Linked DNA regions of Notamacropus eugenii. The protein of the gene in region 1 interacts with the protein of each later gene in a pairwise test. Links are inferred from orthologs where the notes say so. Each region holds a gene or a part of one and is shown on either strand. Other genes may lie near its edges.

Region 1 (7,312 bases):
ACAATCCTTCCTGAGCTCCACAAAACTACAGAACTCAACAAGAGAAATCCCAAGTTTTAAAAGAAACACCAGCAAGTCAAGAATTAATCAGCCAGAGTAAGAGCTACATAATACTTCATAGACTTAAAAAAGAAACAAAAGAATTTAAAAAACAAGCCACTGGTACTGACTTGTAGAAATAATTCTGAGAGCTCAAAGGGATCGAATTAAATTATTTTCTCCAGGATTTATTCTGGAGACAATATATCTTTGGTGTTCAAAGAGCTAAACGCGGACCTACAAGAGCTATTTTCGTACCTAAAACCAAGTTTTCAGAATTTGGTACATATATCTGGAACATATTTTAGACCAAATTTTTGGTGTTTGTTTTGTTTCATATATTTGGTAGAATTCTTTCAGTCACAGAACAAAATTTTTTTAAAAATGGAACTCTTACTAGACATCATCTTTCTAAACTGCCCTGCCATCAAGAACCATAAGATGAGCAAGCCTGCTCCAGACTGACAAGAGCAAGCAATAGAAACTCAAGATTCCTAATCATAAAATATTGCCTGAGTTCTCAGAAACAAAATAATTTTTTCCTCATCATCTAAAGGAAAAGAAAAACTCTGAGAAAGGTAAACTGTTTCTAAGTAACAAATGAACAATATCTTACTACCAGTTTAATTCAGAAAGAGGAAACAATGAAAGGCATAGAGCAGAAAAGATTCTCACTGCTACCCCTCAGAAACTTGTACCCTGGAGGGGAAGGAGTGAGGACAGAAAGCCAGTTCCTCAAACCAGACAAAACTGGGTATGTGCACTTTTGCATACATGTGAACACCCGCAGGCATCAGTACAGCTTCTTCCTAGGAACAGTTACTTATCTGATTTATTTCAGTTGCAGTCATCTGTCTGGTTTTATCAAGACAGACAGTAAATAAAAAAGGAAGCAATCAGAGCGGCTAGTTTTGGGTGAATGATTTCTGACCGGACCCTAATGAATAGTCAGGTTGGGGGGACTTTTCAGTAACTGATGAAAGCACCCCACGTATCCAAGGACACACTGAGCTATTAAAAACTTTGCTCCTTTCATTACCTGCACTGAAATATTCATCCTCTGAAAGGGCTGTCACTTCTGTCTCCAGCGGAATCGGGTCACACAAGAGAATGTCTTTGCCCAACACATCACATTCATAGCCATCATCAAAAAGGAGCTTATACTTCCCAGCTCCAACATCTCGTGTTATTTTCCCAGAATAAAAATAGCCATTGGAGGACCACTTGGCTACAACGCGGAGCCCTACAAAGCTGTTTCCTGGAGAGGAGGAGTCTAGGCCATCAGATGGGCCAGCAACAACCTGCAAAGGAATCTCTGGAGAGTCGCTACGGCGTAAACCTCCAGTACTGCCATCTGCTCGTTTGTTGGCATCTGGCATACGGGGTACAATGCGAGTGAAGGGTTTATCCTCCGGCGAGACACTTGTTGAGATATCCTCGACACCAAGAGGGCTAGGCAAAGCTGTTTCTCTGAAAAGGAAATGTAGAATGAGGAAGTGAGAATGAGATGAATGAATTAAGGAGGATGCACATTAACTTCTCATTTCCCTGCCTCAGAGAAGGAGCGGAATGATCAGCCACGGATTCTGAAGTCATGAGTCTGGTCTTCCAGCTGCTCTCACCTTTACTCACATCATCTGGCAGTCCCTACACCATCCCCTCTTCTCTCCTGGCACCCCATGCACTACTCTCTCCTCCTCCTATTTTAATGAACAAAAACCCAACGAAGCACATCTCACTAATTCTCTCTAGGCTCTCACCCTAAGCTGGAGCTGACTCACTCATCCTATTCCTACCCATTCTATCAGGTTGGGGTGGTCCTTCCAGAGGGATGGCCATACAGTTACTGCTCATCTTCAGGGTCCTAACAACAGCCCTTCTGATGGGGTGGGAATACACGCCCACAACTTGTTTGTTTCTCATTTATACAAAGTAGTCAAAATGACACAATTGACTCCTAAAAAGCCACATATTTACTAATCAGAAAGCAAAGCACACACACAAAAAAAATCATTTAAAAAAACCGTTTCAAGAGAAGGAAAAATCAAGAATAGTCAAAACATAACGGTATACCTATAAAACTGGAACACATTCTTCTACCTATGCATACGATGTCCACGGGGGAAAGTGGGCACACAAAGAAACCTAGTATTGAAGTACTGTAAGAAAACTCATGTGCCCACAGCAACTTAAAACTCTGGACTACAGACTTTAAACAGTCTGTCCTTCACCTGCTATGCAGGCCTCTCTACTCTCCTGCTGGATGAAGCTACTACTCTGCTACTGTTAGGCAACCAGAGCAGCACTGAGCTTTTCTTTTAAACAGGTGCAGCAGCTCTGATTCTACAGCCTTCAGCTTTCCATGTGCGCTTATGCGGCTCTCTGGGCTTTGTGCTAAAGAGCAATTCAGAGAAACCCAGCCAGTTCTTCATACAGAAAGATTCTGCCTTCTCCAGTCAGGTCCCATCAGCACATTCAGATGCTGTTTGTCTTCTGTTAGCTGGAAGTTGCTGTTTTTATTTTCTCATTCTTTTCCTGCTGCTTTCATGAATTAGTAGGCAGCCTCTGCCCTGTTTCAGTTTCTCTTTCTACTATCAGCTCATCTCTTCAGGTGGATGTTGTCTTCTCATTCTTATATTTCTGCCTCTCTTGTCTCCCTTCTCCCTTCGCCTGCCCCATGCCTCCCAAATCAAGATTCCCTCAGGAATAGTGACTACTCATCTCTAACTTGGTTGAGAAACCCAAGATTCACAATGCTATCAAGTATTCTGCAAGTAATTATTACACAATATTTCTGAAATAATTTAATGGATTGTTTGGTGAATAATAAACACCTGTCCTAAACATATCATTTTACAACGCTGTGGGAGTTTGTAAAATAGCACTCTTACTCACAGTTTATTCAAGAATAAGAGGTACTAAACAATATAACTCTTAAAAACTCAAAATTAAACTTTTAAGTCACCATGTAAACTGTTGAATGATTTTCACGCTGAATTACTATAATTACCAAAAGAATGCAAGCTTTTGGACACTTCCAATATTTCTGTTTTGATCAGTGTCTAAAAGCACAATTCCTGCTGATTATTGTTGAATATAAACCCCAACATGAACTTGAATACAAAAAAGTCCCACTTAAGACAATTTAACCTTATGATGTTAGGTCATTAGGCTACATTGATCAGAAAACTATTTTCAAGACCACAATTTCATGAGATACCTATTTTTCGAGGTGGTCAATTTGCAAATTTGTTTTCCTTGACTGCTTGTCAATTACAAGGGAGGGTTTTAATGGGGAAGGTGAGTAATAGGAGAGAGGATTAATAACAGGCAGAGATAAAAAGGAGTCCTCCTAAAGTGTTTTGAACAGACTCGAGAGACAAGAGAGAAGCTGGACAATTCTGGAAGTAACGTATGGATTATACTTAAAGAGAAACAATGATTCATACAATGGAGATTTGCACTTTTATGTCCATGACTCTTTTTCTATTCTCCGTATCTGGAAATGCTCACATTTGTTGGTATTTTTCAAGTTCATAATTAAAATAACATTTAAAAAAAAAGAAACATGGTATTTCAAATCCTGTTAAAATTAGAGTCCAAGTCTGAATTTTAAGCACGCAAGTACAACAGAATACAAAAGTACAAAGTGAATAAAAAGCAAAAGTATAAATGAAAAACCAGTATAAAAACTATATGATAAGAAGTTTAAAACCCAGCAAGTTCTAGAAATATCGTACCGTAAGTAGAAAAACTGTAAATCACTTGGGATACAATTGAGGAGAGTATATTCTGGCTCTGGACTCACCATCCCAGGGTCCGTCTGGCCCATCTCCGCCTCAGGATCCTGGGGGTGCCCCGGGAGGTTGTGGGGGTCTCTTGTAAGGGCAGCCATGTGCCCCCTCGGGGCTCACCTACAGAGGCACTCGGGTTCCACTTAACCTGTTCACGTCAGTTAGCTTTTACAAAGGGATATTTATTCACTACGAAGATATAATAATAACAAAAATGCACACTTCCCCTCATTGCTTCAGGGAAACACTTTCTCCTAGAACACCTTATTCTCTGGGAAAACGAGTCTCAGTCAGACCTAGCACAGCTCCCTCGGTGCCCACAACTTGCCAGACTCCAAAACGCTGTTTTGAATACAGACGTAGTGAAGGGAGAAGAGTAGAGCTGGTGACTGATTGGATGTAGAGGGTGAGAGCCCGCCCCCGCCACACCACTCCAACCAATGGAAGGACGTCCGCCTCGGTCTCGTCCCCGGCTCCTCCCCTGAGTGGCGTGGAGTTATCGGCTTGAGGGGCGGGGAGGGGAGGAGGCTCAAACTTCCTGTCCCGCGCTCAAACAGCTTCCGGCGAGAGCCGGAAGCCCCGCTTCTGGACAGACTCAGGGACCAGGGACTGCTGGCCGCTCAGGGCTGGAAGGTGAGAGCGGGGATTGTGTGCGGCCAGGCCAGGTCAGCGTCGGGTGACGGCCGCGCGGCGGAGTCCAGGCCGCGCGGAGGCGGGCGGAGCAGCTCCGGGTCCCCAAAGGGCAAGTGGGAGGGGAAAGGGACGCTGCCCCCCGGAGACTCCTTTCGCGGGAGTCAGCCCCGCTCTCGGGGAGGGGGCGGGGGGGCCTCTTGTTCTAGGCCGCCGGGCCGCAGACTTAAGCCTCGGGCCTCTTCCCCGGAGGGCTGGGGAGCTCCCAGGAGCCCCGAGATGTCCGAGGTCTCCGGCGGGGTCTCTGGGGCGACGCTGCCTTCTTACCCTCGGGCGCACCCGGCCTCCCCCTCCCCGGACTCGGCTCCTGGTCCAAGGGCCCTGGAAGAAATGGAGGCGGGTGTCCGTCCCAGGGTGGCCGAGGCTGCGTCCGCCTGGACGTGTCGTCCCGGGCTGCCCTCGGCCTTCCCGCCCTGGCTAGGGGTCCACGGAAGGGCCGAGGGTGGCCGAAGGCCTGGCCTTCCCCCTGCCTTTTGGGCTCCTCGCCCCCATTCATTTAATGTATCGAACTCCGCAGTCCCTTAGTGAGTTTTGTTCCGTCTCCAACAAGAAACAATTGGAGAGGCACTGTTATTTTGTTTTAAGAAAGTTCCCCTTAGATCCCATGTTCCAGTGCTGGAAGCTCATCTGGGACAGTTTTAAATTGGGAATGCTTCCGATCGAGCATTTGGGTCCTTATTTTTGATAGAGGTCGCTTCTTAAAATTCGAACCCATTTAACCCCTTTCGTGCCGAGACCACCGCAGTGGGTTAGGACTCCAGCATGTAAAACGAGAGGGCAGATGGCCTCGAGGGCCCCCTTCTGCTCCGAAGTTATCATTCTGTAAATATCAGTGTTGTGTTTACCTGGGTCACAAATACAGAGCTTAAAAGGTAATTACTTCAGTCTTAAAAATTAAGGAAATTTTAAAATCGGGAGATTTGGTTTGTAGTGGAGAGACCACTCCAGTGCTGCTCTATAGTATAAAGGAAGTCGGTGTTGTGGCGCTCAGGAGAGCTAAATTTTAGCTCTAGCTTGTCTCTACATGGCTGGGTGCATAATCATTTATTTCTCAAATTTTTTTATCTGTGAAATATGGTAATTGATCCACGTCCTAATTGAATTATTCTAAATTTGTTGAACTAAACAGGATAGTTTTGACTTTATGAGGACCTTTGCAACTCTCAAATTCATTGGTAGTATCAAGTACACCATAATTATCAGTAGAATTTGTTGATCTCTTAAAGTACTACTCCATTCGAAAATTTGGATATTATCAATTTGCTGTATGTATCATGTTTCTTGCTTTTGAACATGTTTTGTCTGCAAAATGTCCTACCATCAATAGGATTTTTGTCTTACTCCATTAAATTATCCTTGTTATCAATTCCTGTGACCCAACACTGTACAGATAGGGCTGAAAGGATCAAAGGTACAGACTGGGCAGTGGTTAGAGAATAGTCCAAGTGGCTTCTTAAATTAGGGGGCGAGTTATATAGTATATTATTATTCAGTTTTTATCTCAGTAATTTTAACAAACACATTGCTATATAGTAACATGTGACTATTAAGCAAGTGTTTAAAATTTATTCTTTATGTTGAGGACTGTTATTGACTTAGTTATTATTTTAATGCCTCCTGTGTGCTAGGTAGGCAGTGTGGATATAAAATTGAGTCAGTTCCTTTCCTCAGGAAACCTTACTTGGTGAGGTACAAACATTTTCACACACAAGTAAATACAAGGTATGCACAGAATAAATATATAAATATGATGATTGGGGGAGCTCTGACAACTGGGGTAATTAGGAGAGACTTCTTGAAGCAAGTGTCCCTTGACCTGAGTCTTGAAGGGAGCATTGGCACCCAAATGGTAGGAAGGAAAAAGAATATATCCCTCCAATTACTCAAATATTGAGAAAAGTCTCAAGAGTTACAAATATTATCTCTCCATGTAGAAATATAAAGAGTTCAACTTTAGTAAAGTCCCTTATGATTTCTCTTTCTTGTTTACTTTTTCATGCTTCTCTTGATTCTTGTGTTTGAAAGTCAGATTTTCTATTCAGCTCTGGTCTTTTCATCAAGAATGCTTGAAAGTCCTCTGTATCTTTTTTTTTAAAATTTATTTATTTATTTAACTTTTAACATTCATTTTCACAGAATTTTGGGCTCCAAATTTTCTCCCCCCTTGTCCCCTCCCCCCACCCCAAAACACCGAGCATTCCAATTGCCCCCATCACCAATCTGCTCTCTCCTCCATCATTCCTCTCTGCCCTTGTCTCCATCCTCTCCTCTGTCCTGTAGGGCCAAATAACTTTCTATACCCCTTTACCTGTATTTCTTATTTCCTAGTGGCAAGAACAGTACTCGACAGTTGTTCCTAAAACTTTGAGTTCCAACTTCTTTTCCTCCCTCCCTCCCCACCCCCTCCCTTTGGAAGGCAAGCAATTCAATATAGGCCAAATCTTTGTAGTTTTGCAAATGACTTCCATAATAGTCGTGTTGTATAAGACTAACTATATTTCCCTCCATCCTATCCTGCCCCCAATTACTTCTATTCTCTCTTTTGATCCTGTCCCTCCTCAAATTGCACCCTCCTCCCCATGCCCTCCCTTCCATCGTCCCCCCCACCCTGTTTATCCCCTTATCCCCCACTTTCCTGTATTGTAAGATAGGTTTTCATACCAAAATGAGTGTGCATTTTATTCCTTCCTTTAGTGGAATGTGATGAGAGTAAACTTCATGTTTTTCTCTCACCTCCCCTCTTTTTCCCCAAACTAAAAAAGTCTTTTGCTTGCCTCTTTTATGAGAGA
Region 2 (7,013 bases), on another chromosome or scaffold:
CCTTACTGCAGTGATCCCCGGGCGATCAAAGTCCTGGAATATCAGAATCATAGGACCTAGAAGGGATCTTAAAAACCATCTTGCAAATAAGAAAACTGAGCCCCAGAAAGGTCTACTTACTACTCACAAGCGGTGACAGAGTATTTTAACAGAGGTCCAAATCAAGGGGGAAGAGGGGAAGACGGAGGGGGTAGGGGAGGACTCTGATTACTGAGATATTAAAAGGATAAGGGCTTTCGATCTTATTGGTAAAAGGAACTCCTAGAAGACCCAGTGGATGTCATTCTGGACTGAGTGTCAGAGACGGGAGTTCAAATCCTTCTATAAACAAGCGTCCATGGGCAAGTCATTGAACCACTCAGCCTAAATCTCCTTATTTGTAAAATGGAAAATTGAATAACTTCGATATCTTTGTTCCTTTCCAGGTCTCAATTCATGATTCCAAATGAGGCTAATCCCTCTACCTATGCAGGTCAGCACCTTCTCAGTAATTAATAGTCTTGAGTTGCCAAGAGCATTAAAAATTAAGTTACTTACCCAGGGTCCCACCATAGGTATTGTCTGAGGTAGGATTTGAACCCAGAACTTTCTGGTTCTGAAGCCAGCTCTCTCTACCCATTGCTTCAGCCTGTTTCTCACACTATAATAATATAAAACCAAAATCCTGGGCATTTCCCAAATTTATCTTTGAGGATAAAACAATAGGGCAAGTTTTCCTTGCCAAGTCCAATCCATCTACCAGTTTTCAGAAGAGGGTCCTTACAGAGTCTCCAATCCTACCCCACTATTTTATTACAGGGGGACTTAGAGTTGGTAAGAGTCTTAACGGAGACCCCATATCGAGTCAGTGGCAGAGACTTGTCTAGGACTCGGGGCTCTCTGGGGACCCTTTTCAGCAGGGACCCTGTGGGGTGCAAGCAGGGTCTCCTAACTCCTGCCCCTTCTCCCATAAAGGGACAATGGTGGTTGGTGTGAATGGAAAGCACCTGGATGATCACCAAGATCCTGAAGAGGTGGAGGTCGGGAAGGAGTCCCAGGAGCAGGCCCCTTATTCCATGTCCAACAGGTCTGGCATAGGCCAGACCCTAATTTGCCCTTCAATGGACAAATTCCAGCTAGCCTTCCCCCAAACCTCCTGAGGCAAGTGCTCATCACAGACACCCTGAACCACATCAGGGAAGAGATGAACCTGGAGAGGAGCGCAGCCTTGCCCCAGGAACCTAGGTTGGAGCTGCTTTTACCCTCAACTGCCCAGTCTGCCAACAAGTTCCTCAGAGAGCTGGAGGTGATAAGCTGGAGGCTTAAGAATCACACAAGACCACTGTGAGCCCCCAGATCTGAGTTGTAGCCCTACCTCTGCCCCTGATCTGTTGAGTGACTGCAAGCCAACACCTTCCCCTCTTCGGGCCTCAATTTCCCCATCTGTCAGAGTTGAGGAACCTGCCCTAGGCAGCTTTGAGATCATGGGCAACAGGTACTTTGGAAACCTGGTTCCTGATGACCTCTTCCCTGACATTGACACATCAGATGTGGAAAGGGATTCTTGGCCCTCACTTTTTGCCCTTGCCTCCTCCTCTGGGACAGAATGGGACTGGACTGAACTGGATCAAATTTTGGAAATCATCAAGGGATCATAAGACTGTGGGGGTGTGGGGCAAGACCCCAAGTCCCCTAGGACCCTGAACCCTTCATTTAGATACTTGCTTACCTCTGAAGAGTTTCAAGAAAGTGGTCTCCAAAGATTTCCTATCTCAGGAAGCTGTAGTGAAGCTTCCTTGTGACTTGGGAAAGTCTCCTGGCCTAGTCTCAGGGCCTGCTGATGGCAAAAAAAACAGATTGTATCTCTCTTTTTTGATGGCTTGATGGAACACTGCTCCCCCTGTCTTCATCCTCCCACAGCCAAAGCTGCTGCCAGGGAATCCCTCCTCCTCTCCCCCTATCACCCTGACTGGCCCATGGTGTGCAAGGACCAAGCACTCTGGGGCTGCTATTCTTACTCCAGTTAGTCTCCTAGGAGCTTGGTCCCCGGGTACTCCCTAATTTTTCCCTTAATTTGGCTTCATATCCCATGAAGAAGCTGGCTTCAGGGTTGAGTAACTGCCTGGGGAAAAAAAGGGGGCAGGGCAGGGCTGAAAGCCAGGAGCCTGGGCCTCTGGGGAGACAAAGTCCAGATTGCCAGGAGGAGGGGCTCTAGACCAACCCCCCCTTCCCTTCCACCCAACTCCCAAGGTTGACAGGTATGGAAACAGTAAGAAATCACATCTTCTTCCTCCCCCCTCCCCCCCTCCTGGCCAGGAGTACCCCCCTCCTTTGCCCCCCTCCTTTGTGCTTGATCACCCCCTTCCCTACCCAAAGAGGCTTTGATGAAGTGCAACAGGGATAAAGGAATCTTTATTTGTGGTCACACCTTTTTTTTCTGTTTTGAAAAGACCTATTTTACCTGTTTGGGTTTTTTTTTTTTTTGTGAATAAAACTTTCAAATTCTATAATGTCCCTTTAATCCATTCTTCTTCCCATCATGCTTTTTGGCCTGGAGCCTCTGGTGGATAGGAACAGGTAGCCTGCCTTATAGGGGCAGGGGGCAGGTGTTTCCGCTTTCTCCACCAGGCCCTCCTTGCCTTTAAGGGTACTCCTGGGTGAGGTGGTCAGTTTAGACTTAGTCGTGGAAGTTAGACATCATCTCATCCAATCTCCACATTTTAGGGGGAAATTTAGGGTTGGAAGAGGAAGAAACTTACCTCAAATCCTCTGCTCTCAAAGAGTGCACCCCTGGGGAACCCCTGGGGCCCTTTCTGGAAGTCTGCAATGTTAAAACTTTTAATAATAATACGAAGACGTTTTAATTTCTAACATGGTAAATAGAGATTGATATTCGACAAACAAAAGCTCTTGGTCGGGAAGTACCTCCTCAATAATTTCTAAGAATGGAAAAGAGTCCTGGAACCCAAAAGTTTTTCATATCGGGGTGTAGTAATACAGGAGGAAATCCTTTTCTTCTGCTGGGGGAGGGGGGCTTTGTGGAAGAGTGGTGACAGGCTCTGACTCAGTGTCTCCTTTCTTCTTACTACCCCACTTTGTTTAGGAGGAGGGGTGTAAAAGGGCTGGCAGAGCTCCTCAACCCCAGGAGCTGGCCCTCAAAGCAGGGTCTGGTGAGGAGAGTTTACTCAGCTGTGGGGAGATCATGGCTCCCCTCCAGTCTAGGATGGACCAGCTGGATAGTTCTGCAGAATTCTCTCCCTCCTCCAGACTACAAGTTGGGGAAAAGAGAAGGGGTATGTTTGTGGTGCAGGATACAGTCTGGACACTGCTGGAAGGACTCCTGAGAAAGCTGTCTAGCTGGGCCCCTTCCACCTGCCCCACCCACCCCGGGGGCCCTGCTAGCTCTTCCCTTCCTGGCCCCAAGACTCTGGTTTCTCCCTCTAATAAAGCCCCCGGGGTGCTCTAGCTTCGGAGCCACAGGTCGCGCGCGCTCGTTTTCTTGTAACTTTCGTTTCCGTGCCTTGGGCAGGCCCTCCTCTCCTTCCCCCCACTCCGCCCCACTGTTCCCCTCCGTCGGGGCCTCTCTCATCTGTTCCCCAGCTGCCAAGAAGTTAGGGACGGACAGGGCTCGACTCAGCTGCTTGGAATCGCCCAATGGCAGAGCCCCAGCGACCTCAAGAGCTCAAGCCTCTCCTCATTCGAAGCAGGGACTTGGGTCCAAAAGAGGGAAGGGTCCTAGGAGTCTGGGCCTGCAAAAGCCTTGGAAACTATCTGGTGCAGCCCTGATTTTGCAGCGGAGACCCAGAAAAGGAAAGTGATCTGCCAAGGTCACACAGGTCTACCCTGCCTGGAGCAGAGCCTAAATTCAAGCTCGGGGCCTCGGAGCCCCCAGGCATTTTCCATTCCATCCCGCACAGATCCACCGAGTCCTAGAGACCTAGACTATGCTCCCAGGGTTTCCCTCCCCACCCCCCCAGAACTCGCTCTAGCAGGCTTTTTAAGGAGGCTGGGTCGGGAAGGTGATGGCAAGGGGGAAGGGGGAGAGGGCTCTACGATTTCCCTCAGGGCCTTTCGGTCCAGCTTCGGTGCCAGAGTCTCTGTGGCAAAAATGAGGAGGAAAGGATGGTCCAAGGGGGTGGGCTAGCTAAACAGGTGCTTGTGGGGGTCTTGTCAACCCAAGCAAGAAGGGGAGGACCCAGCCCCTTTTAGGGGGAAGTGGGGGAGAATCCGTTTCTTCAGCTCCTTCATCCAACCCTTCCCAAAAGCCCAAGAACGGACCCCCGCCCTCGCCCTCCCTAGCCCGGAAAGCGACAGCTGAGACCAAAGACACACGGACTGGCCAACCAGAGAGTGCCCCCGTCCCGGGCCTCAGGGCCTGGGGAATCCAGCTCGGGGAACCTGGGCCCCTGGATGGCCTCGCCTCCCTCTTAGCCCCGCCCATCACGGAAGCGAACCAATCCCGAATTCCTGGGGCGGAGCCTCTCAGGGGCGGGGCAGAAACAGAGGAAAGTAGCAACCCCACGACCGCGCGCCCGGGCCAGTGCAGCTTCTAGCGACCCAGGGGCCGGCCGCGGGAGGAGTGAGCGAGCGAGCGATGCGGTCGCCTCTGCCGCTTCCTGATTGGCTGCTGGTGGCGTCGCGGACCCTCTGATTGGCAGCCGACGAGTTGGGTATGTAAATGAGGCGAAGGGGAAGGGGGGAAGGGGGTAGGCTTTGGGGGCCGGAGAGGGGATCGCCATCCCGGGCGAGTCCGATCCCCTGGCGGCGTCCGATGCTCCCGGCGCGGCTCCCCGGGCGCCAGGCCGGGCCCGACCCGGGGCGCTGTCGCTGCCGCTGGCGCCTGCTCCGGCCCGGGGTGAATCACGCCCCAGCCCCGGGGAAGGGGAAGGGGGCGGGGAGCGGGGGCGCCGGCTCCCTGGCTCCGGCTGCGTGACTCACCCGCCCCCGCGGCCGCCGCAGCCGTGCCGGGCCGGGCCGGAAGCGGGAGCGGAGGCCGGGCCGGGCGGGGAGCCGAGCCGGAGCCGGAACCAAGCGGGGCCGGGCCGGGCCAGGCGGGGAGCCGAGCGAGGCTGGGCCGGGGGCGCCCGCCTTCTGAGGCTGCCCCCTCCCCCACTCCCAGCTGACCCGACCGGCCCCAGGGGCGTCCGGCCTCTGCCCTTGACTCTTGCTTGGCCCAGAGCGAGCCCCGTCCTCCGAGCCCCCACTGCCCGCGCCCCGCTCTGTGGAAGGAGAGGAGGGGTCCCCGGCTCCTGGCAGGCCAATCTGAGTTGTACAAAAGAGAAAACTGAGGCCCAGCGGTGTTGTGACTTGGGATCCTAGTCTGAGCTGGAAGGGGCTCCAGGGGCCATTATACCGGAGTGAGGGTCGACCTTTTTAGTATTGGAACCCCTGGAGCAGTCTGGTGAAGCCCATGGACTGCTTTCCAGAATAATGTTTTAAAGTGTATGAAATAAAACACAGAATTCAGAATTCATTAGTATTGGAATACAGTTATTAAAATATTTTTAAAATGTTCACAGACCCCAGGTTAAGACTCCCTGCACTAGAAGGTCTCTCGCTAATTTTCTGGGATTCATTGTCCCAAGGCATCAGGAGAGGGGTTTTCAGAGTCCTTTGATGGAGAGAACCAAAAGAATGCTCACAAAAGACCATTTTCTGACCCCATACCCCCATTTCTCCACAGACCCATGTTGTGCAAAGGAGTGAAACGTAAGCGAGAGGAGGAAGAGGAGGAAAACCTGACCTCACAGGACTGGTGGCTAGAGGAGGCCACTCCCAGCCCAAGCCCTGAGGAGGGGGCTGGCCCAGCACCCCTGCCCCCCAGCTCACTCTTCAGCCTGTCTATATTCAAACTCCACCATGGCCTTCGGAGGGGCGAGCCAGATCTCCGCCACCTTGTCCTGGTGGTCAACACCTTGAGGAGAATTCAGTCCTCTATGGCCCTGGAGCCCTCTGCCCCAGAACCCCCTTCTCCAGCTCCTGTTGACCCCTTCCCAGTGGTCCCTGATGCCCCTCTGTGCACGTCTGTCTCAGCCCTTCTGGATGACCTGAGTCACATTGAGGGCCTCAGTGACACCCAGACAGCCTTCCCTGAAGATGCCCCCCTTAGCCGGCCCCCGGACCTGGGCCTGGATCCTGGGCGGCCAGCCCCTGTGGGGTCCCTGGAGCTCCTCCTGGAGGATGGACTGGAGGGTCTTTTTGATGACATTGACACCTCCATGTATGACTGTGAACTGTGGCCCAATCTTAAAACAGACTCTGGGGAAACAGAGGACAAGATACAGGGGCCAGGGCTGGACGTGTCTGAACTAGATTACCTCATGGATGTGCTTGTGGGTACACAGACTTTGTAGGGAAATGGTTCCCTGCCTGCCCCCAAGAGACCTGAAATGGACTAGAGCTGCTGGGAGCTCCCCTCCTGTTACAGACTGTAGGGGTGAGGGGGGGTCATGGAATTGTGGGGAGGAAAGCGTGGACGGTTTTTAAGATGAAAACAATTAATATATGAAACAATTTGTTCCTTGTCTCTCTCTCTCTCTCCCTCTCTCCCTCCCCCCATCTGTGCATATTTAAAGTGAATTATTGACCCTTGCTACTGCTACTTGTCAGGTAATCTCAGGGAAAGGTTATTTGCCTCTGGGCCTCAGTTTCCTCAACTGGGAAATGAAGAGGTTGGATCCTGTGATCTGTAGGTCTCAACTCTGTCTCCAACTCTCTGTGTGGGCTTGAGGAAGTCTCTCACTTTCTCTGGTCCTCAGCTTCCCTTCTGTATGATGGTTGGAATAGATGTGTTTCCCTAAGACCTCATCCAGTTTTAACTTTCTGTTCTAAGGTCACACTGAATAATATACAATCTCAGAACTAAGAGGGACCTCAGTGCGGTAGAATATGGATGGATGGGGGGATGGATGAAGCATTTAAAAGCTTCCTGTGTACCAAATTCTATATGATAAGCTCTGGAAACACAAATGTAAGTATGGTGGCCCCCATCTTCAACTAGCTTACATTTTAATCATGGAAAATAACAAATATTT

The links. The genes of interacting proteins can lie anywhere in the genome.
Region 2: the proteins of ZNF410 (region 1) and SERTAD1 interact in binary tests that used the Homo sapiens proteins (3 or more experiments, as listed by UniProt). The two-hybrid records come from large-scale screens. The link is inferred for Notamacropus eugenii from reciprocal best matches to the Homo sapiens genes ZNF410 and SERTAD1.

What each region holds. Positions count from the first base shown.
Region 1 is NC_092878.1:56,326,749-56,334,060, forward strand, and holds the start of ZNF410 (zinc finger protein 410), read left to right. Parts: upstream 1-4,309; 5' UTR 4,310-4,466; intron 4,467-7,312. UniProt on the Homo sapiens protein: Transcription factor that binds to the sequence motif 5'-CATCCCATAATA-3', and is specifically required to silence expression of fetal hemoglobin in adult erythroid cells.
Region 2 is NC_092876.1:31,106,384-31,113,396, forward strand, and holds SERTAD1 (SERTA domain-containing protein 1), read left to right. Parts: upstream 1-4,439; 5' UTR 4,440-4,649; intron 4,650-4,682; exon of another isoform or gene 4,683-4,834; intron 4,835-5,662; 5' UTR 5,663-5,666; coding exon 5,667-6,332; 3' UTR 6,333-6,492; downstream 6,493-7,013. UniProt on the Homo sapiens protein: Acts at E2F-responsive promoters as coregulator to integrate signals provided by PHD- and/or bromodomain-containing transcription factors. Stimulates E2F1/TFDP1 transcriptional activity.